Linked DNA regions of Alligator mississippiensis. The protein of the gene in region 1 purifies or fractionates together with the protein of each later gene. This does not show direct contact. Links are inferred from orthologs where the notes say so. Each region holds a gene or a part of one and is shown in the gene's direction. Other genes may lie near its edges. The genes, in order: GEMIN4, SNRNP70 and DDX20.

Region 1 (3,742 bases):
CCTGGCAGATGCACGCCTGGTCAAAAGGAAGGGGAGGGCAAAGAGGAAGCATACGAGGGGACGAAGTGACCCATGCTGGGGGGACCAGACCCCAGCACGCGCTCTGATTTACGCGCCGTACTTGTTCTTGAGCTCTTGGACTCGGGTTATGTAATTCTTCCTGGCGTCTTCCTTGCTCATCCCTTTGCGCCCGTTCCAGGCCTCCCATTTGGCCTTGCCTTTGACATCCATCGCGCAGGGACAGGAGATGTTGACGTCGCCAATGGTGGCTTGTTTGTAGAGACTGTAAATCTCCAGCAGCTCTTGATCGGTGACCTTGATCTTCATCTGCAGGACCATAGCTGCCACCTTCTCAAACTCGGCTTGAGACATGGCGTCCGCTCAGGGCCGACCCTCCTCCTTCCCTTTTCTCCAGGCGCGGGGGACTGACCCGGGCTGCGACCACTGGAAGGAAATACAGTTGCCGTGAGCAGAAATACTTCACATGGCCTTACCGTTCAGCCTGAAATGAGAACGGCAGTTCTCTGGGACTTGGCCTCTCCTTCGTCCGGGGGAAGAGAGCCTGATCGGAGGGTTTGGGCACGGTGCCTGGGCTGAGAACAGGGCTGTAAAACCCTGGGACCGAAGCGTGCAGTCAGGGTGAAGCGTGCCACTGCCTCCCCCCAGGATCGGTGCCTGCCGCCCCCAGCCCCTAGCCCGTGGATGCCCCCTTCCTCCTCCTCCTCCTCCTCCGCTGCGGGCTCTGGGCAGGGGCAGAGGCCACTTCTGCACCCTCCAGCCCCTCCTGGGCTGGGGAATTACCGCGCTGCAGTGCTGCTGGGAGCCTCCAGGGGTCGCTGGCTCCGCGGGAGCCACTCGTGCCGCCGCGCGTCTCGCTGCTTCCGGTCTCGCTGCTTCCGGCCGCGGCGCCACGTGGGTGCGGGGGCGGCTGCATCACAGAGCGGCGCGGGGCGCCATGGAGCCGGGTGGGTGGCGCCGGCCGGGGGCTGGGGCTGCCGGGGAGCCCGGCCCCGGGTCCGAGCAGGGCGTGCCCTCTGCCCTGGGGCTGGGCTGGACAGGGAGGGACGGAAAGAGGGAGACCTCTGGCCTTGGCTGCCCTGCCCGGAGCTATCCCTCGTCTCCCTGCCCCGCGGCCGGGCCCTGCCCCTTGTCCCGGCCCCTGAGAGCAGCCCCCTCCCGCTTCTCCCCCGCAGACTAAAGCAGCCCCGACCCTACCGTGTCCCCAGCCCTTTTCATTGCAGCCTGCAGCGGGACACGACTGAGGTGTGGCCTGGGCAGCGCGGAATAGAAAGGGAGATTCGCTCCCCTAGGAACCTGCGCTAGCCGGCTCGGAAACGAGCTGTAAAAAGGGGCGTGGGGCCTTTTCCTTCGCACCTGCTGAGCATCCTTGTACCTCGGGCTGCTAGAGGCGGAGAGGGGCCCCGCTGCGCTGGCAGGGGCTGCGTACGCTCCACCCCAGAGGAGGCAGGTTGAGAGAGGGGTGTCTTGCTTAGCCCTGTTTTACGCACGCGGAGAGCAAAGACGCGCCACCCGTGGTGTGCAAGGAGTCCGGGCAGCAAACCCAGGCCCTCCCAGTGCCAGCCCCGTGCTCTCAGCCCTGGGGGCTCCTTCCTCTCCGCTCTAACATTGCGCATTGCCGTTTGAACAGGGCCCGTGAACATCTGTGAGGAAACCGCGGTGTTGCACGGCGGGTTCCTGCTGGCTGCGAAGCGCTATCACCCCAAGGCACTGGCGGATTTGGCCAAGGCTGACTGGCACCACGTCGGGCCACCCATCACCGATGCCTTGAAGGAGATCTGCGCTGGCCGCACCACCTCCCTGCCCCAGCCCCGCAGCTGGAAGAAGAAAGCCGTCATGATCATCTGGGCCAAAATCCTCCTGCCCAGCCCCGGGCCCGCCAAGGTTGACCAGAGGTGGAAAGATGACGCCTTCTTCTCGGTGTGCAGCATGATCCCCCGTCTCAACCGCACAGTTCTGTTTGAGCTGCTTAAAGCGCTGAATGCACCCCGGCTCTTTGTGCAGCTACTGCTGGCGCTGCCCGCGGGCATCTGTCAGCAGGAGCTCGAGCTGTTGGTTGAGTACGTTGTGAACGAGACGACCCCATCGGACTTGAGGTTTTTCTTGGACGTCTGGTGGGAAATCATGAAGCACAAGGAGGGGCAGCAGGACCAAATGATCGTGACATTCAGTGCCCTTATCCACCAGCACCTGTCTGAGCCACTGGATGAGGGCTGCCAGCCTCCGAAAAGGTTTAAAGGCGATCCCCTGTCCATGCGCGACTCCCCTCTTACCACCGAACTGCTCACAGTCCTGGTTGATGGGCTAAAGCATCTCTATGGATGTATTGTCACTCCCAGAATGAAATGCTACGCCCTGGCCAACCTGGTAGATCTGCTGTCGGTGTTCACTGTAGTAGAGCAGGAGTCCAGCGTGCTGCCCACCGTGGAGTATCTGGACAAGATCACGTCCGTAGTCATCCTCTGGAATGGTGACTGTGAGAGCCGCTACCACCCGCGGGGGCTGGAGGAGAAGGTGAAGGAGGCGGAGCGGAGCGTGAGCCTGCTGTCCGTGGTCAAGCTGTCCAGCGAAGAACTTTTTGTCGGCTTACGCTTCTTCCACAACCTGCTGCAGGGCTGGAGTGAAGAGCTGCATTGCATGCTGAACAGCCGCCAGGAGGTTTGCTACGAGGGCTACCGACTCCTCGACAGCCTTGCCACTTTCGGGAAGAACCTGCTGTGCTTTGCTGAGGCCAGGGAGCTGAGCAAGGATGAAAAGCAGGTGGTCCTGGAGCTGGCAGAGATCATCATGGGCTTCCTTAAGCAGATCAACCCTGACCTGCAGGGCAAGGACTCAGACAGCAGCATTATGGCCTCGGTGGCCATGACAATCATTGAGCAGAAGATGGACAGGCACCTGGAAATGTGCTCCATTTTTGCTTCTGAGAAGGCCTGGGCCTTCTCAAGGGACTGGGTCACCTGCCTCATCAAGAACAAAGTCCTCTTCCAGAAACCAGACCTGGTTTTGAAGCTGCTGGAGACCACGGTGACTTTCAGTCTCTCCTCCAGCAACCGAGAGAGCCAGGAACTGCAGGTCAAGGTAACCAAAACCATCCTGGAGTGCTACACTGAGCTGTCGCTGCCCGACAAGAACAAAGTGATCTCGGGCGTCCTGGACTCCTGGGGCGGGCGGGGCCTATCCTTGAGCTTGAAGGCTTTCACCGAGGGCTTCCAGGAGGAACTGAACTTGGCTTTTAACCAGATCACGCGAAGCGCGTCAGATCAGGGCCTGACCAAGGCTGTGGCCTCGGTGGCGAGGCTGGCTCTGCTCCATCCGGAGGCCACAGTGAAGAAGGTTTGCAACCTTGCAGTCGTCAACCTGGGGACACACCAGTTCCTGGCACAGATCCTGTGCTCGTTCCCAGCGCTGAGCTTCCAGGAAGCCCAGGAGGGCTTGGACAGGGGGGGCAGCCTGCTGGTGAGGTGCCTGAAGGAGACGGTGTGGGGGAAGCTGTCTACCGCAAAAGAGAAAGAGCAGTTCCTAGAGTTCTTGGCTGTTCTCCTGCAGCCAGGCTCAGCAAGTCCTCTCCTCTCTCCCGGTGAGGTGACCCAAGCCTTCGTCCTGCCCTACTTGAAATCAGACTGTGCCCACATTGAGCTAAGCCTGCACATCCTTAACAAGGTCCTGGGGCTACAGTCGGGGCAGGACGAACACTGGATAAAGACCTGCCACCCCTTCCCTCTCC
Region 2 (3,742 bases), on another chromosome or scaffold:
GCCCTGGTTGCTATAGCATAAATTAGGGGTTGTCACCCTGCTTTCTGAGCCCTGGCTGCTATGGTACAGGTCAGGGATCATTGTCCCAGTTGCTATGGCATTGGTCAGAGGTAATCTTTGTGGTTACTATAGCAGATCAGCAGTCAATGCTCTGGTTGACATAGCAGAGGTCAGGTGTGATTGTTCTGGTTACTATGGCACGAGTCAGGGGTCATTATCCAGTTGCTATGGCACAGACCTGAGGTTGTTCCCCTGTTGCTATGGCATGGATCAGGGGTCACCATTCTGGTTGCTATGGAAATGGTCAGGGATTGTTGTCCCAGTTGGTATGGCAGAGGTCTAGGGTCTTTGCCCTGGTTACTATAGCATGGGTCACAGTTCACTGCCATACTTGCTATGGCCTGGGTCAGAGCTTATTGTTGCAGTTACTATGGCATGGGTTAGGTGGCACTGCTGCTTTTGCTATGGCGCAAGTCACAGACCATTGCCCTTGTTGCTGTGGCTTGGATCAGGGGCCATTTCTTCAGTTTCCGTGGCATGTGTCAGGACTCAATGCCCTGGTTTCTAAGACCTGGGTCAGGGGTCATTGTTGTGATTACTATGGCACAGGTCAGCAGTCATTGTTCTGTTGTCAGAGGAGCCAAGTACGTGGGGGCCCAAGGTCACTGGCCCCCCACGTGAAGCGGGGTGTCACCTGAAATGCATAAAACTTTCCACATGCCCATCATCTCAGGGCCCACACTGGCAAAAAAATAAAATTTGGTGCTTATGTCTGTTGCTATAGCATAGGCCTGGGGTGGTATCCCCAGCTGCTGTGGCATAGGTCAGGGTTATCGTGTGGTTGCGAGGACACAGGCCTGGGGTTGTTTCTCCAGTTGCAATGGCATGGCACTGGAGTCCTTGTCCTGGTTACTAGGGCCTAGGTCAGAGTCATTCTTGTTTGTATGGGACTGGTCAGCGGTTGTGGTTCTGGTTGCTATGGCACAGGTCAGGGATCATTGCCTCATTTGCTTTGACACAGGTCAGGTTCTGGTTGTTAAGGCATGAGTTGGGGTCATGGTTTTGGTTGCTAAGGCACAGGTCAGGGGTCATTGCCTTAGCTGCTATGGCACAGGTCTGGAGTCATGGTTCGGGTTGCCAAGGCACTGGTAAGGGGTCACTGGCTGAGTTGCTAGGGCCCAGGTCAGGGGTCATGGTTCTGGTTGCTATGGCACACGTCTGGGGCCGTCACCCTGGTTGCATGGCACTGACCTGGGGCGGTCCCCGTACTGTCACGTGGCTCCGCCTCCCGCCCTTCCCTTCCCCCCTCCCCGTGATCCGGGACTATTTTCCGACGGCGACCGCGGAAGAGCCTCGATTTTGACACTCGCGAACTTACCGCGAGTCTCGCGCTGCCTCCGAGACTAGGCCCGGCAGCGGAGAAATCCGGCGCGGTGAGAGGGTTGCGCCTGCGCAGAGCGGCGGAAGAGTAGGCCCGCGGCAGGCGGCGACGGCAGCAGCAGGAGGAGCTGAGCGCGGCGCGGCCCGGGCGGTGGGTGGATGAGGGAGGGAGGGCGGGAAGGAGCAGGGGGGTTGGGGGAGAAGGGAGTGGCGTATGGGGCAGGGTCTGGGAGGGGGACTGGGGTGGGTGTGTGGGGAGGGAGGAGGGCTCGGTGGGAAGGGGGCGGGCTGGGCTCGAGCCCAGTTGGGAGAGGAGGTTGGGGCAGGCAGGAGGAGCAGCGGTGTTGTGGGGGGGGACATGGGGGAAGAGGGTCTGCAGCCCAACAGGGTTCATGGCGGGGGCAGCGCTCCATGCAGGCTCCTGACGGGTCATTGTCTGCTGTTTCCCCATCAGATTCCCCACGATGACGCAGTTCCTCCCCCCCAACTTGCTGGCACTCTTTGCCCCCCGAGACCCCATCCCTTATCTGCCCCCTCTGGAGAAGCTGCCCCATGAGAAACACCACAACCAGCCCTACTCTGGCATTGCCCCTTACATCCGGGAGTTTGAGGTGAGTGCTCACTGCTCCCACCCAGCAGCCTAGCCTGGACTGGCTAATGCTGGACTCTCTCTCTGTTTCTTTGCTCTGAAGCCACCAAGTTTGCCCTCTGCCAGTTCAGGCTACCCTTATGTCTCCTTGGTGCCCTGCCACTATGCTGCTTTCTCTCTTCCAGGACCCACGTGATGCCCCTCCACCCACCCGTGCCGAGACCCGTGAAGAGCGGATGGAGCGGAAGGTACAACTGCCCTGCCAGCTTCAGAGGACCCCAGTGCCCCCTGGTGTTACAGCCAGCAGTGGTGGGAGAAAGGGGCTGGGGGCATTAAGAAGCCATCCCTGTATTATGTGGCAAAGGGGCAAGTTTGGGTGAAACTTAACTACCGCATTCTCTCTAATATTCTCTGTTGTTTCTCTTCTCCAATGATTCCAGCACAGGAAAAAGAACCCAGATGTTCTGGGTCTATTTCTCTTTTCTGCTCTAGCCTAGTGGGTTAAAGAGCTGGGAACCTGGATGTCTGGGTTCTGTCCCTAGAGAGGAGAGGAATGGGATTGAGTGGAGTTGGGGAGCTAGGAGCCAGGACTGGTGGGTTGTATTTTGTGACAGTTTTGTCCTTGGCCTTGGCTTACTTTGGAGGTGAGGTCCCCAGTAGCCCCATCTACAAGTTGAAGATAACAACCCCTCAGAGCATGTTGAGGGTGAAACAGTGGTATCTTTAAAAGTCATGGTTTGTGATCTGTGCCATAGTAACCAGAATGATGATCCCATGACCTAGGCCATAGTAGTCAGGGCAAGGCCCCCAGTCTTGAGCCATAGCAACTGGGGAAACAACCCCAAGCCTGTCCCATAGCAACCAGGTAGTTACCTGATGCAGCTCCACCACCTCCCCTGTTACCCCCTGGGATTACCGGTTCCCCTGGGAGGGGTTTCCAGCACTTTCTGGACCTGGGGAAAGCTACCAGCTGTTACCTGTTCATTTTCCTTTCTGCAGAGAAGAGAGAAGATTGAGCGGAGGCAGCAAGAGGTGGAGAGTGAGCTGAAGATGTGTAAGTGAGGGGGTGAGGTTCCTGCTCCGGTTCATCTAACCTAGCTCTGCAGCCTCTGCCCATCCTCAGCTGTGACTTATCCCACTTCTGACTTGGGTGGGAGGCCACCCAGTGACTGTGGGGGTGAGGGGTTCTCTTTGCCCACCTCTTATACATATCCTTGTTTTCTGCCCATCCAGGGGACCCACACAACGACCCCAATGCACAGGGTGATGCCTTCAAGACCCTATTTGTGGCCAGAGTAGTAAGTGTCTCCCCTTCTCCTTGCCTCTTATACTGTGTAGAAACAGCTTCCATATTACTTACCTGCGTCTAATCTTGGTTTTTACCATTAGGGTCAGGGGGGATCCTTTTCCGGGGTTCCTATCCTCTTCCCTTCCCCCTGCCCCCTGATCTTCCTGAATCCTCACCAGCCTGTCCTTTAAACCCTGTAGAACTACGACACAACAGAATCCAAGCTGAGAAGAGAATTTGAAGTCTATGGCCCTATCAAGCGGGTAAGAACCCACCTTCTGCATCGTGCCCACGAAGCTGTTTCAGCTTCTTCACAGCAAGGAAAGCCCAGGCATGGAGACAGTGCCAAATTCTGCACCCTTAGTGTGAATCCAAACCCCCTTTCAGGGCATGTGCCAGTGGCCACCTACTGTTGACCCAGCTATAAACAGGCATCATCTCACCTGTGCTCAGGGTGGGGAAGGCACCTGGCCATGATGCCAGCC
Region 3 (3,742 bases), about 41 Mb from region 1:
ATGGAGCGATGAGGGCAGGATGGGGCGGCCGTCATAGAGGACGTTCCCGTTTCCCGCTACTCTGTCCTCGATTGATACGCGACCCGACGGCTTGATGTCTCTTCAAGAGAAAAAGAGAGGACAACAAGGCGTCCGGTTGCGTATCAATATTGGACCGAGGACAACCGGGCTGTCTTGCACGGCAGCATAGGGAGGTGGCCTAGCCATCAACGCCGACGGGGCCTGCGGGTGCTGAGGAAGGCGGTATAGCGTGTGGCGAGGACTTGTGCGGGGCGTCTGCCGCGGGGAGGGAAACAGGCACTTTTCTGGATACGAAGTACCCTCTTCAGGCCTGTTGTTAAGCGTGAGGGGCTCGTAGGAGAGCCCACGGCCGCCCGGCACCCTGCTCCGCTCCTCAGGGCAGCGCGGCGGGCGGCCGAGGCCTGCGGGAGCCGTGCAGCCAGGCGAGGCGGCCTCCCGCCAACCTGCCCCTGGGCCGTGGGACAGGCCAGCGGGCACGGCACCTCCCACGCTTGGAGCCTGGGGTCCCGCTGTGTGCGGCCGGACTCCTGCTTAGTCTGACACGGGACACGCGTGTGATAGTGGGCACGCATTGGCAACACGCTTAGTGCGAGGGTATTAGCGGCTCTTGGGCCCGCCAGCGTGTGTTTGACGTGGGACACGTGTGTGGGTACATCTGAAGGGAGCGGGCGTTACTGTGCGCTCTGGCAACTTGCTTCGCCTGAAAGCGTTGGTAGCTTGTGGGGCACGTGTGTGATAAATAAGCATGTGTGTGATAAATGAGCATGTGTGTGATGGCAAGCACATGTGTGATGGCGGGCACATGTGTGATAAGGGGCACAGCTGGGCACCCTCCCTCAGTGTCCCTGCTGGTTTCCCTCATCCCTCCCCCCTACAAAAGGCAGCAGTGGTTCGGGCCTGCCTCTTCCCTGCCCCCCCTTCAACCCCGTCATGGTTTCTTCCAACCGCCTCCGTCTCCAGAGGCTGCAGTGGTTCCTCCCTGCCCCCCGCGCGACACCACATGGTTCCTTCCACTATCCGTAGCCGCGCCAATAAAGTTCTTTCCCGGAAGTCCCGCGAGCTTTTGCTTGTTCTCGCGAGAGCGCATCCACGCGCATTCCAAGATGGCGGCGCCCGCTGTGGCGGTCTCTCGTTTTCGCACCCGCGATGTGCTGGTGCCCGGCGGCCCGGCCGACTTCGGCTCCCTGCTGCTGTCGGCCCCGGTGCTGGCGGGGCTGGAGGCCGCCGGCTTCCGCAGGCCGTCGCCGGTGCAGCTCAAGGCCATCCCGCTGGGCCGCTGCGGCCTGGGTGAGAGCGGGGGGGAGGGGAGGGTCAGTGATGGGGGCAGGGGAGTTGGAGGGTCAGGCAGATGCCTAATCTGTGCTCCCTTCCCCCACCAGATCTCATTGTCCAGGCAAAATCTGGCACCGGCAAAACCTGCGTGTTCTCGACAGTGGCCCTTGACTCCCTCGTGCTGGAGAACCCAGCCACCCAGGTGAGCCGGTCTGCGACATGCGTGCCCCAAGTGGCACAGGCAGCCTCTGCACGTGGCACCTGCCAAGTCAGGGAGGGGGCAGGGAGCAGACAGCAGAGCAGCAGATCAGGCAGGGGACCAGCGTAGCACTTGGGGAGGGCGAGGGGCTCGTTTGTGACACGCCTGCCAAAATTTCTTATTTCACACCATAACAAACATGTTGTCCTCACTTTAGTCGCGTGTGAGAGCTGCAGCAGCGCCTGACATCCTTCATCTGGCAGGCGAGGTTATTTGAGTCGACGCGATATCTTTTATGAGACCAATCGAGAAGTTGGACAAAAGTTTTTAGCGAGCTTTCGGGCGCTCTCGTGCTTCGTCAGGCAATGGGAGTCTTTGCTGTTCTGAGACGGCAAGGAACGAGAGAAGCTAAAAGTGTGGCAGGATGCGAGTGACAATGGAAATAGGTAGAAATTAGGATAACGGAAGGTAAAATAGAGAAGGGAGGGGTGAGAAAAGCCGGGGGAAAGAAAGCCGAGGGTGATCAAGGGAGACTCTACAGAGGTAGTAATTGAAGGTGGAAAAGAAGTGGCCTGTGGAAAAGGAAATGGCTGGAAATTAGGAAGACAGAGGGCAGAAAAGTGGTGGGGGTGGGGAGGAGGGAGAAGAGCAATGTAAAAGGGAGGTCTGGCAGGTCAGGTACCTGGTGAATCGGATGTCAGGCAAGTTGTAATGTTATAAATCCATTGTCTGTATTGAGTCCATGATCATCCCCTCGGTGCATTTTGTTGTGTTTAATTGAATAATTGAAGGTAAAAGAGGGCGAAGGGAAAGCAGCTGTCCAAGGGCTGCTAGAAGCCTTGCAAGTGATGGAAAGAAATGAATAAAGCTCGTGTGTTGTGTATCGTGCTTGAGCCTCAGTGTGCGAGTCTCAGAAGCTCCCTGTGAGTGTACTGCTCTGGAGCTGTTAGTTTAATTTGGTGTCTACACTAGGAGCGGGCTGCTTGATGAACTAAAATGAAACAAGTTGGGGTGGAGGAGGACAGTATAAAGAAGATGTCATGCTTTTGGCAATTTTTAAAGTTTACAAATCCAATGTTATGAATTACAGTAAAAAGTACCATGCCAGGTTGAGACCTTTAGTTCAGGTAACTTCTGCTTGTTTCTCACATAAACATATTGTGGGCTGTGATGTTGCATCCTGCCCATAAAATGCCAGTCTGCTCTAGGAGAGAGATCCCCAAGGGGCTAGGGGAGGGGTAGAGCAAATTCAGTCTCCTTTTTACTGAACAAGTGCTATCTAGACTTACACTTGCAAAGGCTTTAGGCTGGCTATAAGACAACATCAGTCACTAAATCAGTAGTTTCAAGATGAAAGACTGTTTTAACCCTCTAAGCCATTGGTTTGGTCTTAAAGCCAAATTCGTCATCATTTCAGATACTCATCTTAGCACCCACGAGAGAGATTGCTGTGCAGATTCATGCTGTTATTTCAACTATTGGAATAAAAATGGAGGGCCTGGAATGTCACGTCTTCATTGGAGGCACCCCTTTAAACCAAGATAAAATCAGACTAAAAAAGTGCCACATAGCTGTTGGGTCCCCAGGTAAGAACCCACTTCAGCGTACTTTGGTAGAAACCAATGAGACACTTTCTGTAGTACAGTAATTGGCACACTTGAAATCTTGATTCTTGTCCCATAGTCATAGGGGACAGTTTCAGACCTCAAAGTTAAAGAAAATTAGACCAGAGAAGTATTTATAGTTTATAGATTATTCTAAATATGCTTTTTTAAAGAAAGGTTTGTTAAGGAAGTGGGTTAGATAGCAAGTTTTAGATTTGCGGTTGGTATAATTTCTTGTCTCGTCGTTAGATTCTTTCCGTAAATATTTGTGAAACTCAAGCGACTCTTCTTTGATGTAGGTCGAATAAAGCAACTTATAGAGCTGGACTATCTGAACACTGCTAGCATCCGCCTTTTTATCCTTGACGAAGCAGACAAGCTTTTGGAAGAAGGCAGCTTCCAGGAGCAAGTCAAGTAATAAACTGAGTTTCTCTCATACCTTAAAAATCTCTCTGCTCTAAAACACCTTATCTGAAGCATTCCCTTTCAATGTCTTTCTCCCTCAGCTGGATTTATTCTTCTTTGCCAGCCAACAAACAGATGCTCGCTGTTTCAGCTACCTACCCAGATTCGCTGGCAAATGCTTTGACCAGATACATGAGAGAGCCTACCTTTGTGAGGCTGAACCCCACTGATCCAAGTCTCA

The links.
Region 2: the proteins of GEMIN4 (region 1) and SNRNP70 purify together in Homo sapiens (affinity purification with mass spectrometry; 5 studies listed by BioGRID and IntAct, counting the BioPlex papers as one, with this or other methods). This does not show direct contact. The link is inferred for Alligator mississippiensis from reciprocal best matches to the Homo sapiens genes GEMIN4 and SNRNP70.
Region 3: the proteins of GEMIN4 (region 1) and DDX20 purify together in Homo sapiens (co-immunoprecipitation; 7 studies listed by BioGRID and IntAct, counting the BioPlex papers as one, with this or other methods). This does not show direct contact. The link is inferred for Alligator mississippiensis from reciprocal best matches to the Homo sapiens genes GEMIN4 and DDX20.

What each region holds. Positions count from the first base shown.
Region 1 is NC_081837.1:2,822,426-2,826,167, forward strand, and holds the start of GEMIN4 (gem-associated protein 4), read left to right. Parts: upstream 1-888; 5' UTR 889-955; coding exon 956-965; intron 966-1,215; exon of another isoform or gene 1,216-1,648; coding exon 1,649-3,742. Other genes in the region: acyl-CoA-binding protein, read right to left, coding at 109-372. UniProt on the Homo sapiens protein: The SMN complex catalyzes the assembly of small nuclear ribonucleoproteins (snRNPs), the building blocks of the spliceosome, and thereby plays an important role in the splicing of cellular pre-mRNAs.
Region 2 is NC_081828.1:39,884,421-39,888,162, reverse strand, and holds the start of SNRNP70 (U1 small nuclear ribonucleoprotein 70 kDa), read left to right. Parts: upstream 1-1,421; 5' UTR 1,422-1,531; intron 1,532-1,834; 5' UTR 1,835-1,844; coding exon 1,845-1,991; intron 1,992-2,154; coding exon 2,155-2,217; intron 2,218-2,968; coding exon 2,969-3,023; intron 3,024-3,202; coding exon 3,203-3,267; intron 3,268-3,457; coding exon 3,458-3,520; intron 3,521-3,742. UniProt on the Homo sapiens protein: Component of the spliceosomal U1 snRNP, which is essential for recognition of the pre-mRNA 5' splice-site and the subsequent assembly of the spliceosome. SNRNP70 binds to the loop I region of U1-snRNA.
Region 3 is NC_081837.1:44,046,457-44,050,198, forward strand, and holds the start of DDX20 (probable ATP-dependent RNA helicase DDX20), read left to right. Parts: upstream 1-1,093; 5' UTR 1,094-1,124; coding exon 1,125-1,308; intron 1,309-1,400; coding exon 1,401-1,495; intron 1,496-2,909; coding exon 2,910-3,078; intron 3,079-3,395; coding exon 3,396-3,510; intron 3,511-3,602; coding exon 3,603-3,742.